Linked DNA regions of Schizosaccharomyces pombe. The protein of the gene in region 1 interacts with the protein of each later gene in a pairwise test. Each region holds a gene or a part of one and is shown in the gene's direction. Other genes may lie near its edges. The genes, in order: pxd1 and dna2.

Region 1 (4,177 bases):
TTCGAAGCCTAGCCCATATGCTAAAATCTCATTGTTACACTTTTTGCTTACAGAAAGCAAACATTTTTTAATAAGCGATCACATATTTTCCGAAATTCAAAAAGTCTATTTCCTTCCCTCTTCACAAAATGATTCTTTTGACGACGTTGTTGCATGCCTGCGTCAGAAATCAACACCATATCTTTCGTTTATAAAGAAAGCTCGTCATTTAATTCAAGTTTCCCGAGATAAATATAAGTTACCTATAAGCACCGAAGAAATAAAACCCGTAGTTTATTCACAGGTCACTTGGACTGAATTTGAAAAAAAACTATTGCGGTATCTTGTTCAGGAAATGATTGCAAAAAGTATTCAAAGTTTACCAAATACACACTTGTGTCAGGTTTACAAAGAAGTTGGCCTTCAAACTCACGAGAGGGGATTAACTAGTGATCAGTTTGCTAAATTCTTAACGGATATTGGCGTGTGGGCTTCATGGCAGCCCCCGAGGTTGTTTCAACAGGAATACAGCATTGCTGGCCTTGGTACTAATCCTCAGTTAGATGCTGTGTATGAACGTGAGTGTAATCACTTTAAAAAGTTTGTAAAAAATGAATTAAAAGATTCACTTGAATCGCAACGCGTCGATTTAAGGCATCTTAAAGCGTTCGCCTTTGATAGTTCTTCTACGAAAGAGATAGATGATGCGATTTCGGTTGAAGAATTAGGGATGTCTAATTCCTGGCTTCATATCCATGTTGCTAATCCTACGAGTACAGTTGACATTCGCAGTCCTTTAGGCACGTTTGCTGAAAGGAACTTTCAAACTATTTATCATCCCAACAAAATTGTGTATATGCTACCTCTCAATATCACTCAGAAATATTGGAGTTTAGATTCATCTTCTACAGCTCAAAGAGCATTAACTTTTAGTGCTAAAATTTCAAAAAATGGCGATATACTTGATTACAAGGTTCGGCCTAGCTTCATTTCCTCAGTTATCAAATACACACCCCAACAACTGGATAAAGCTTTGCATAGTAATCGATCAATTGCGAAAGACATCGTTTCTGGACCAGTGGATGAGGAAACAAAAGGAGTATCAAATGATCACATGAAAGATATATTAAGAATATATGAACTTTCGAAACAAGCCTGTTTTTCTAGGTTACAAAAGTTTGCGTTTGTTATTGCACAACCCACTCCGACAGTTGAATTGCTGCCTAATAATGTCCCTTATAATCTTGGTGATCTGAATCATCCAGTATACTGGTCTTCCTTCCCTACAATTAGTTTGAACGTTAGTGAAGGGTATAGCTTGGCAGAATCAGTAATATCAGAGTGCATGATATTGGCTGGCCGGGTTTCATCATTATTTTTTCAAGAACATAAATTACCTGGGATTTTTAGGGGCCAGCCTTATCCAATTATGGATGGTGTACGAAGAAAAGCGTTTGAAACTTTGTTAAGTAACAGGTCATCTTGGGGACTCGTTGAAACTAAGTATTCACTTTCTGTAATGCCTTTATTTGAAAGTTCACATTTAGCCTCCACACCTGTTTCCCACTTTTCTTTGGGGCTAAAGGATGGCTATATTCAGTCTACCTCTCCTTTACGCCGGTTTACCGACTTCTTCACTCATCATCAGATTCAGTCGGTATTATTAAAGACTCCAAAAAATACTATACCTGATGGTATTCTTCGTGGAAAACTAAATTTGTACAACCAAAAAGAAAAATCAATTAAAACTATAGGAAGATACATTAATCGTTTCTGGGCCTTAAAATATATAGAGAGACTTCCAAAGGTACAAAAAAATATTTATCATGGATATTTAATGGTTTCAGAACTTTCAACACCTCAGGTCATGTTGGAAGAATTGGGTGTTAAAGCGCATATTGATATTCTCCCGGACGAAGCATTCCGGTTAGCAAATACTCGCCAGGCATTTACAATTAAGGATGTCTTTCCGGAGTCTAATATCCTATTAGTTGCTTTAGCGACCTAACAAACTTATTAAAACTATTTTTATGGATATAATTTTACTTAATTAAATACTCAATCCTGCATTTTATCAATTTACCGAGACTTAACGATATAAATAAATTATGTTTTGGGATTTGATAGTAACCTGTTTCGCCAAAACTCATCTCAAAAACCAACAGGTAGTTTTACTATGAAGTCTCTTTGTTAACCTTGACTCTTGTGATTAAAATATATTTTCTTTTTCTATTTTTTGTAAGACAAGAAGCAAATGTCTTTGGATGCTTATAAATCCATCGACGAAGTGTGCTGCGTTGTTTAAAATCTAAGTTAAGAAAAATGATTGAATCTAAAGGTGAAACAGCACCCTCTTTAAATTTAAACGACGTTAATGTTGAAGAAAATGATGCTGCGCAAAGTTTTGCAGAGAAGGTTCAGCGGTTTCGATACCAGATGAAAGTCCATGCAGCACCGCGACAGAAAACGCTGCATTCTTTCCTGAAAAAGGATAATGCTAATATTCATGACTTTACTAAAGTTGAGAAACCACACATTCGTTCTTCTAAATCGAAGGTTTCTTATAACAGTATTACATCAAGAGTTACCAAATATTTTGAAGAAAAAAATAATTCCGTTGATCAATTGCATTCAGAAAGCTTGACCCCATTAAGCTTTGGCCATACCATTCCCAAGAAAAAGCCGTTACTTATGACGGCTTCTGTTTCAGAAGATTCTAGAGTTCGTGTTAGTAAGAGACAATTTAAGTCCAAAGTTGTTCATCCAGAAATTGCTATTTCTATTGCTAAAAGGCATAAGCCAAAGTTTCCTCTGTCTGATGAACTCATGAATGTCGAACCTGGGTTCCACCACAGCAATATCGGTTGTCAAATTACGCCTTACTTATGGATATCATCATTTAGAACTAATGTCTATTACCTAATTGGAAATGAGGGTGACTTATTGTCCCAACAAGTACCTTCGATAAGTGGGGAGTTAAACATGTTGAGAGGAGTATGCACCCGTATCGATGATGATAATCGCTATGATATTGAACAAGCTGGTTCTTGTTTTGGTATGTCGGTATTTCCAACCTCTGATTCTGGAGAAGAGTCTTTTACCACCCTTGAGTCCGATCCGATAGTTAATTGCGAACACGATGAAAAGAAAGTTGCTGATAATCTCCTGGTTCCTCAAGTAATGTGTTCTTCTAATATTTCAACGTTCTTTCGAAGCCCTGGTGGAAAAAAGTTGTATCATTATTTATGGAAAAATTCAAATGCCCTACGTATTTCCTCAAACGACCTTCTCGAAATACTTTTAAAGCACGGTGTTTATGTATCTTTGGACACTCTGCACTCGTGGCTTCAGGAAAGAAACGTAAATTTTGAAAAGTGAAATATTTATGTTAGACTAAGTATAGCAAACTTTTGGCGAGCTGGTCCCGTAATGATGATTTAATGTACGTTATATATCTAACAAGTCAAGAATATTATTTCAATAATTTTAAATGTATATATTTATGTGATAAGTTAGAACTAAAAATAACGAGTAGATAGCTTGTCTTAATTTTGAAGGACCAAAGCAGAAGGGACTTTATGACTCGAGTTTTAAACGTCTTTGAGAACGTTACTGAGTTCTTCTTGTCTTATTTGTTTTTTTTTATATCTCAATAGCGCTGTATGGTTTATAATATATGCATATAAAGCGCTAATGTTAGGACCTTTTCTTGAGCAGATTTGTCTTTGGAAAATAACGAAATAGTATATTATTATGTTATTTATTTAACGAGCCGGAAATTTTTCATAAAATTTCACTAACGTGCTGCGTAGTTAATCTTTATTATCTAATACTAGGACAAGGAACGCGAGAGCATGTGTTTGTCATTAACTACACACACGAGAAATAGCAATTTATGTGTTTCGCGTCTCTGGCCTACTTATATCTTACAAAGCATTCATTTTTTGAAACCTTCTTTTCTTTCTAAATAACTGCATTTGTAATTGCTCAAATTACCAACCCTGAGCAGTTAAAGTCTTTTTCAAATTTCGTTTCATAGAGAATCAAAAGAATTCAAGGTTGGATCTATTTATATTAAAATTTATTAGAATGTTTGTGTTTGGATAATAATGAAGCCTCGCCCGTACTCTGTTTTCCTCTTTCTTCATATCGTTTTTTACAGCCTTCTTTCAGCAGTGAATGGATCCCCAAGTTTGGA
Region 2 (7,186 bases), on another chromosome or scaffold:
TTATAAAAGTCTTCATTAACTGCCATAGCATTCCACAAATCTGTAAAATCTACGGGAAGATCATGACCAACTTGCAGATCTCCGTCCATTTGCAGAAATCTGGTCATGGCACGGTAGAGTGAATAGTGAAAAGCAGAAGCATCTAGGGCATTCGCTTTAGGTTCCCTCAGAAAGTAGTTTTCTTTAAGGGATGATGAATTAAGTGAAGTAAGTATCGACGGAGGACGTTGATCTGGTTGACGACCACGACCGTAATAAATTGAGCCATAACTTGAAGAACCAGTTACTTCACCAGGTATAAAAAAATTCTTTTTATTAAACGTTGCTGCACACCCCCTCACAGAATGAGCCCATGAAGCAAGAAAATCAACTGTAATTTGAGTAGCTTTATCAATACGAAAACCATCCACATCTAACATGGCAATGATCATACATGCGAAGTGTTTTAACTTTTCTGAAACCGATGGCCTCCATTCTCTAAGTCTATCTTGGACAGAAGCAAACTTTGAAAGCTGACGTTCCCAATCAGGATGAGTACCAAAGGCTTCTGTATCGCCATACTGATCGAAATCTGAATCATAACAACCAACATAATCAATCACAACAGGCGCGCCATCTTCACCCCAAAATCTGGGAAGCTCACACTTTGGGTCATATTTATTTGTGAAATTCCAGTCTGGATAAATGACGTTGCTTTTCCACACCGCCTCATGTTCAAATAAAGAAAATGGAGTAGTACTGTTCAGATACTTCCGAAACCCTATAAGATCTCCCAACGTAGAAATTGTAAGGTCCAGAACTAAATAAAACCCTCTACGATGGATTTCTTCTATCGTGTCACGCCATTGTGCAATTGTTCCAGAATGGTGATCGAGGATGGTGTAGTCCAGTGGTGAGTACTGATCAGCACCCCATGGCTGATTTAAAAATGGTGTACCGGCGATGTAGATAACCTTATTCGTTAACGAGCATAAAAGCATAACTCTATCTTACCTTTATTCCCATAATCTCCAAATAATCTAGTGAGTCTTTCAGGCCTATTATATCCCCTCCGTTTCGAAAACCAGTTTCATAAATATCATACTCATAAATAGTATTGTTAGCTTCATTATTTCTAGGATCACCATCTTTCCATTTATCCAAAATAACTGTGTAAAATGGCACTTGCCAATCATCTGGACTGGGATGGTATTGATGGTTTTCCCATTTTCCCCAATAATCTAGAGGATCGGTAGCTGATTGATTTTGGTTTAAATTCCATAAAGATTCTCTTTCATCATATTTAGCAGTAAAGACCAACCTTGGTATACTTAATATCAAATTCAAGACGAGAATATTCTTATTTCGCATCGTTTATGGTATTTCCTCAATTGACGTGAAGAAGCTGCCCTGTTCAAAATAGTTTTATTAAAATTAATGCGATCGTTAATGCTATTATATATGAATTTATCAAGATTTTTCCCGATTCAAATGATGGTTGCTTCTAAATACGAGAAGAGTACAATAACCAATAAGTCAACTTTTTGGAATGTAAACAAACAAACGAACCTAAAAAATTTATATTAATTTTTGCTTACACATGCATTTCTATTTTAAAAATAAATTTTAAAAAAATTAAGAAGGAATTTTATTTTATAATTAAATCGCAGTTTGCGCTTTTGTATGCAAACGGTCATTCAGTTAATAAGCTTATACTTAAGAAGAGTTGAAGCGAATTTCGATACAGATAATATTTATTAATTATGTATTAAGGAAAATCAATAATTTTGCTTTCATCGGACTTGGTTTTAGTTCAATTTACCTGTGAACGACTTCACAAGGTTCATTGTAAAGATTACTGGCACATATTCATGTGTAATTTTATTTAAAATCAATCGAGAACATGACTGCGGAAAACCTAAGGAAATAAATTAACTAGCATTGTTGGCGTTAGGGAACCGAGTATCTATAAAACTGAAACCTCCGACAACCATACTCCAAATATCTATTTTACGAGCATTGCCTATTATTTTGAGAATAAGCGCAGTCGTTAAGGCTTTATTTTAATTTATTTCTATTTATTTTTTCTTTGCATTTACATCGTTGATCATCATTCTTTTTCACGTGTTTTAGTCGTTCTTTTCAAAGCTCATTACCTGGTTGAATTTTAGCCTGGTTATTTGAGTATAATTATAACAAACTTTTTTATTTTTTAATGTTTATTGCCTTCCTTTTTTTGTAAATTAATAATGTTCAACGACCAGTCGAAAACAACTTCATCTGTGAAAGGTATATGTGCCACTACTGACAACAATCATGGTAATTTAAAAAAAACTAATTCAACTCCTTTCAGGAAAAACTATTTGCTAAATGGGAGAACTAAATTGAAGCTGGAAAATTTTGCGTACAATGCATCTACAGAAATTAGTTCACCTAAAATCTCTGAAAAAAAGCATTCTTCATTACCAATTAAACGAAAGAATACTTTTAATGAATCCTCAACATCTTTTTCCCCATTTACTAAAGCTCATAAAGAAATTACTGACGATTTAAAGCCTGACAAATCTTTCACGCGGAAATCTGACTTGAATAGCCAAGACATGCCAGGTATGATTTTTCTTGTATTCAGACGTGTATTTTAACTTTTAGAAGTATGTTTTCAAGAAACTTCGAAGGATTTGTGTCGTAGCTCTTCTACTCAACATTTGCTGGATCATCAAACGACGGACTCAACGATTATAGATATGAAACCAGTGTCAACGAACTCAAAATCTGATGTGTTTACATTATATACGGATGAAACTGTCCTATTACGACGATGTGCTTCAGATAATAAGCCACTGATAAACAATAATTTGTCGAGTTCAAATGTTTCGGAAAACCAGAGTAGAAGCTTCGGATCGTATGATGAAGTAAAAAACCAAGGAAATAACCTGCATAAAGTCCCTAGCTTGGTGTCTATAATTCGTAATGCAAGATCATCTGAGCAATCAAGAATTGCTGCAAATTCCAGTTGTCTTCTCAAAGGATCAGATACCGAAATTGACGAGGATGATTTTGCCTTAGAAGCTGAAGATCTGGCAGCATTAGATTCCCTTGAACGCCAATACTCACAATTACCTAATTCTACAGTAACTGCTTCTGCAAAGGACATAGAAAAGACAGCTAAGGTCAACCATGTGGGAGGTGATTTGCAATCTTATTGTTCAGCAACAAAAGCATCTGATGCTACAATAAATGAAGAACCTGTGAACCTTGCTCTTGATAAAGCTTGTAATTCATTGCCGGATATCAATAGCGACTTTATCGATGATTGGGATGATTCGTGTGATGGATGCACTCCTGGTGAATTGTGCGAGTTTTCCTCCGAATACACAGTATTAGAAGTTCACGAAGACTTCATTTTTCATGAAGGGAATCACTTTCGACAATTAAAGTTGATTTTGGAAGCAAATGATATACTGCATCAGTTATTTTTACGCGGTGATTGGACTGAGACTAGTATTTTTGTAGGGGATTCTATCCGTGTTGAAGCTACATTTGACAAAGATAATACCGCTATCGTTGACAACGATAAAGGACTTATTATCATACATCCGAAAATTTTAATGTCTGCTACGGCAGTGGCCAGCTCTTTTCCTTGTTTGAGGAAAGCCGTAATATCTGACAGGGTTGGCATTTATGGACCTCCTACAAAAGCTATGGTAACTGGAAACATTTTACATGATTTTTTTCAACACGCATTATACAGAGGTATTGATGCCCTTGAAAATGTTGATATCAACCTTGAAACATCAATAAAAACATACATCTCTGATATCTATTTTGCTGATTTGTCGCTCGATGAAATTCGAGAGGAACTTGATGCGAGGCTTCCCCTTCTTAAATCTATTGTTGAAAGATATTTAATAAGTAAAAAAAATGACAACAACAATGAAAGTATTCACATTTCAAGGCTTCTCGATATTGAGGAATCCATATGGTCACCCAGATTTGGATTAAAAGGTAATATCGATGCTACAGTTGAGGTGGTTTTAACTGAAAAACCTGAGTCTTCGTCAACCCTCACACTTCCGTTAGAGCTTAAAACTGGCCGATATGTCGACAATATTAGCCATTTTGCTCAAAGTTTGCTTTATACATTACTCATTTCAGATCGTTATGGTATCAATACTAATCAGGCATTATTATGCTATTTGGAAAATAGTACTATCAAGAATTTGGTTGCAAGTAACTCCCAACTTCGAGGGTTGATCATGACAAGAAATTCTCTTGCACAGCATAACTTTAGGCGCAGCCTTCCTGAAATGATTTCGAACCGAAAAATTTGCGATCACTGCAGTTTAGTTTCTGAATGTTTGTTCTTTCAAAAGATGAGTGATAAAGGAGTAGCTAATAGTAACGGCTTGACTGAGTCATGGAATGAATGGATGCGCGAAGTAAAAGATGAGGATCTTGAATTTTATAAGAAGTGGGAGAAGTTATTAAATCAAGAGGAACGACTCTTACTACTAAAAAGAGGCGATGTGTTGACTTTTGATACAGAAGAGCTAGAAGCTTATGGAAAAACTCTGTATCCTTTATACATTACTAAAGAGGATATCGTTTGTTTAGAAATTGATGACAGGGTTTTTCATTACAAATTCGCTTTTTTAAATGACAATGGTTATCCTCGAAATTTCTTGCACTCAGGCTTCAGCGTTGGTGAACGAGTATTTATTTCTGATGAACATGGACACTGGTCACTAGCTAAAGGACACATAGTCCATATTCAAGATTCATGTATTGAAGTACGAACTCGTCATCGACTTCATATTCCATGGCTAAAGATGCCTAACTTTGATTTCAAAAAAAACCAGGTATTTTTTGGTAACTATGAAGATTCCAAATTGTCATTTATCGGAAGTAACCATACGAGGTACAGAATTGATAAGGACGAATTTTCGAGCGGAATTGCATCAATAAGAGGTACCTTGATGTCTTCTGTATTACCAGATGCTCCCTTAATTATAAGGGACATGATTATCCGTTTGAAGCCTCCAAAATTTTGTAATAGTGCATTAATCGATCCTGAATTTTTGAAATGTTTAAACGAAGATCAAATTACAGCTTTAAAGAAATGCCACGCTGCAGAACATTATAGTTTGATACTCGGAATGCCTGGAACGGGGAAAACCACTACAATTTCTAGCTTAATCAGATCATTGCTTGCCAAAAAGAAGAAAATACTTCTTACTTCTTTTACGCATTTAGCAGTTGATAACATTTTAATTAAACTGAAGGGTTGTGATAGCACAATCGTCCGCTTAGGATCTCCTCATAAAATCCATCCCCTAGTAAAAGAATTTTGTTTGACTGAAGGAACGACGTTTGACGACTTAGCGTCATTAAAACATTTTTACGAAGACCCCCAAATAGTTGCATGCTCTTCTCTAGGGGTATATCAGTAAGTAATTGAAAGCGACGGCAATGAACAAACTACTAACAACATTAGTTCCATTTTCAATAAAAGAAAATTCGATTATTGTATAATTGATGAGGCATCCCAAATACCTCTACCAATTTGCTTAGGCCCTTTGCAGCTTGCTGAAAAATTTGTTTTAGTTGGTGATCATTATCAACTTCCTCCTTTAGTAAAAAATTCAAGAACATCTAAGGATGGTTTGTCGCTCAGTCTATTTAAATTACTATCAGAAAAGCATCCTGAAGCCGTTACCACTTTAAGACTACAATATCGTATGAATGAAGACATTAATTCATTATCTAGTGAACTTATTTATGGCGGCAATTTGGTGTGTGGGTCCAAGACGATATCCCAAAAAAAATTAATTTTGCCAAAAGCTCATCTAAGTGATGGTTTACCCGATTCGTCGTCTAGCCTACATTGGGTCAACAAGTTAATCAATCCTAGTCATTCAGTCATATTTTTTAATACCGATGATATTCTGGGAGTTGAATCAAAAACTAATAATATTCTAGAAAATCATACTGAAGCTTTTTTGATAGAACAAGCAGTTTCCTCCTTCTTGGAACGAGGCGTTAAGCAAAGTTCTATCGGGATAATTTCAATTTACAAAAGTCAGGTGGAGTTGCTTTCTAAGAATCTTAAATCATTCACTGAAATAGAAATTAACACTGTCGATCGTTATCAAGGAAGAGACAAGGACATCATTTTAATATCTTTTGTGAGATCCAACAGTAAAAACTTAGTGAGTATTGAACCAATTATTTACACAACTGCTAACCATTTATTTAGGTTGGAGAATTGCTACGCGATTGGCATCGTTTGAACGTTGCTTTAAGCAGGGCGAAAGTGAAATGTATTATGTTTGGCTCGTTATCTACTCTTTCGTCTTCAAATATAGTTTCTCATTTATTGAAATTATTAGAAAAAAACAAATGGATTTTCACGTTAAATGAGAATGATATAGCAACGAAATTTGACGAGAATAGCTCTCCAATTAAGGATTGTTCTCAGGTTGCAACGACAAATAATGCTAAAGTTATTATTAGAAAGAACCAAAGGTTTTTTAATAGTGACAATTTATGTGAAAAAGCTATTTTACCTCAACTGGAATTTTGATAATCTACTTCAAAAAACTCAATATTTTACTGGATACGATCTTCATAATGAAGAATGTATATATAAATGCCTAAAATAAAATTCATCTGATCCTTGTTCATGAATATAAGTATTAATCCCTCCATGATATATAAACATCGTCAGTACGATATCTTTGAGTAATCGTCGATTCTGCGACGGCACATCGGTCCCCGGTTTTATAAGCCAACAACCCTGCTTGGGCTATCATTATACCATTATCAATACAGAAACGTTCATCTGTAGAAAAAACATCAGCGCCTCTATCCGAACTCATTTCAGCCATCATTTGTTGGAGACGTTCATTGCATCCAACACCTCCAACAATTAAAACAGAATCAGCTCTGATATGTGCCATCGCGCGTTCTGTAATTTCAACTAGCATTGCAAAGCCAGTTTCCTGTAAAGAGTAACAAAGATCTTGCTTTGTAACAGAACTCGGATTTTTTGGGTCTAATAGCTCTGTAGCTGCCGCTTCAACCCCTGACAACAATCCGGAAAATGAACAATCCATACCTTTAACAGTATAGGGTAACTCTATAAATCTTTTGCCTCTAGGAAAAAATTAGTATAAAACATCAAAGTGAGTCTTACTTTTTTGCTTCT

What was found.
Region 2: the proteins of pxd1 (region 1) and dna2 interact in a two-hybrid assay, tested with the Schizosaccharomyces pombe proteins (one study listed by BioGRID).

The regions. Positions count from the first base shown.
Region 1 is NC_003421.2:1,284,049-1,288,225, forward strand, and holds pxd1 (protein Pdx1), read left to right. Parts: upstream 1-2,117; 5' UTR 2,118-2,301; coding exon 2,302-3,357; 3' UTR 3,358-3,483; downstream 3,484-4,177. Other genes in the region: rpm1 (3' ssRNA-specific 3'-to-5' exonuclease), read left to right, coding at 1-1,987; trp1322 (TRP-like ion channel protein), read left to right, coding at 4,089-4,177.
Region 2 is NC_003423.3:3,591,735-3,598,920, reverse strand, and holds dna2 (DNA replication endonuclease-helicase Dna2), read left to right. Parts: upstream 1-1,964; 5' UTR 1,965-2,228; coding exon 2,229-2,586; exon of another isoform or gene 2,587-2,631; coding exon 2,632-5,425; intron 5,426-5,473; coding exon 5,474-6,188; exon of another isoform or gene 6,189-6,210; intron 6,211-6,235; coding exon 6,236-6,562; 3' UTR 6,563-6,630; downstream 6,631-7,186. Other genes in the region: cell wall alpha-1,3-glucan synthase Mok13, read right to left, coding at 1-953, 994-1,350; kae1 (EKC/KEOPS complex N(6)-L-threonylcarbamoyladenine synthase subunit), read right to left, coding at 6,675-7,134, 7,175-7,186. UniProt on the Schizosaccharomyces pombe protein: Key enzyme involved in DNA replication and DNA repair.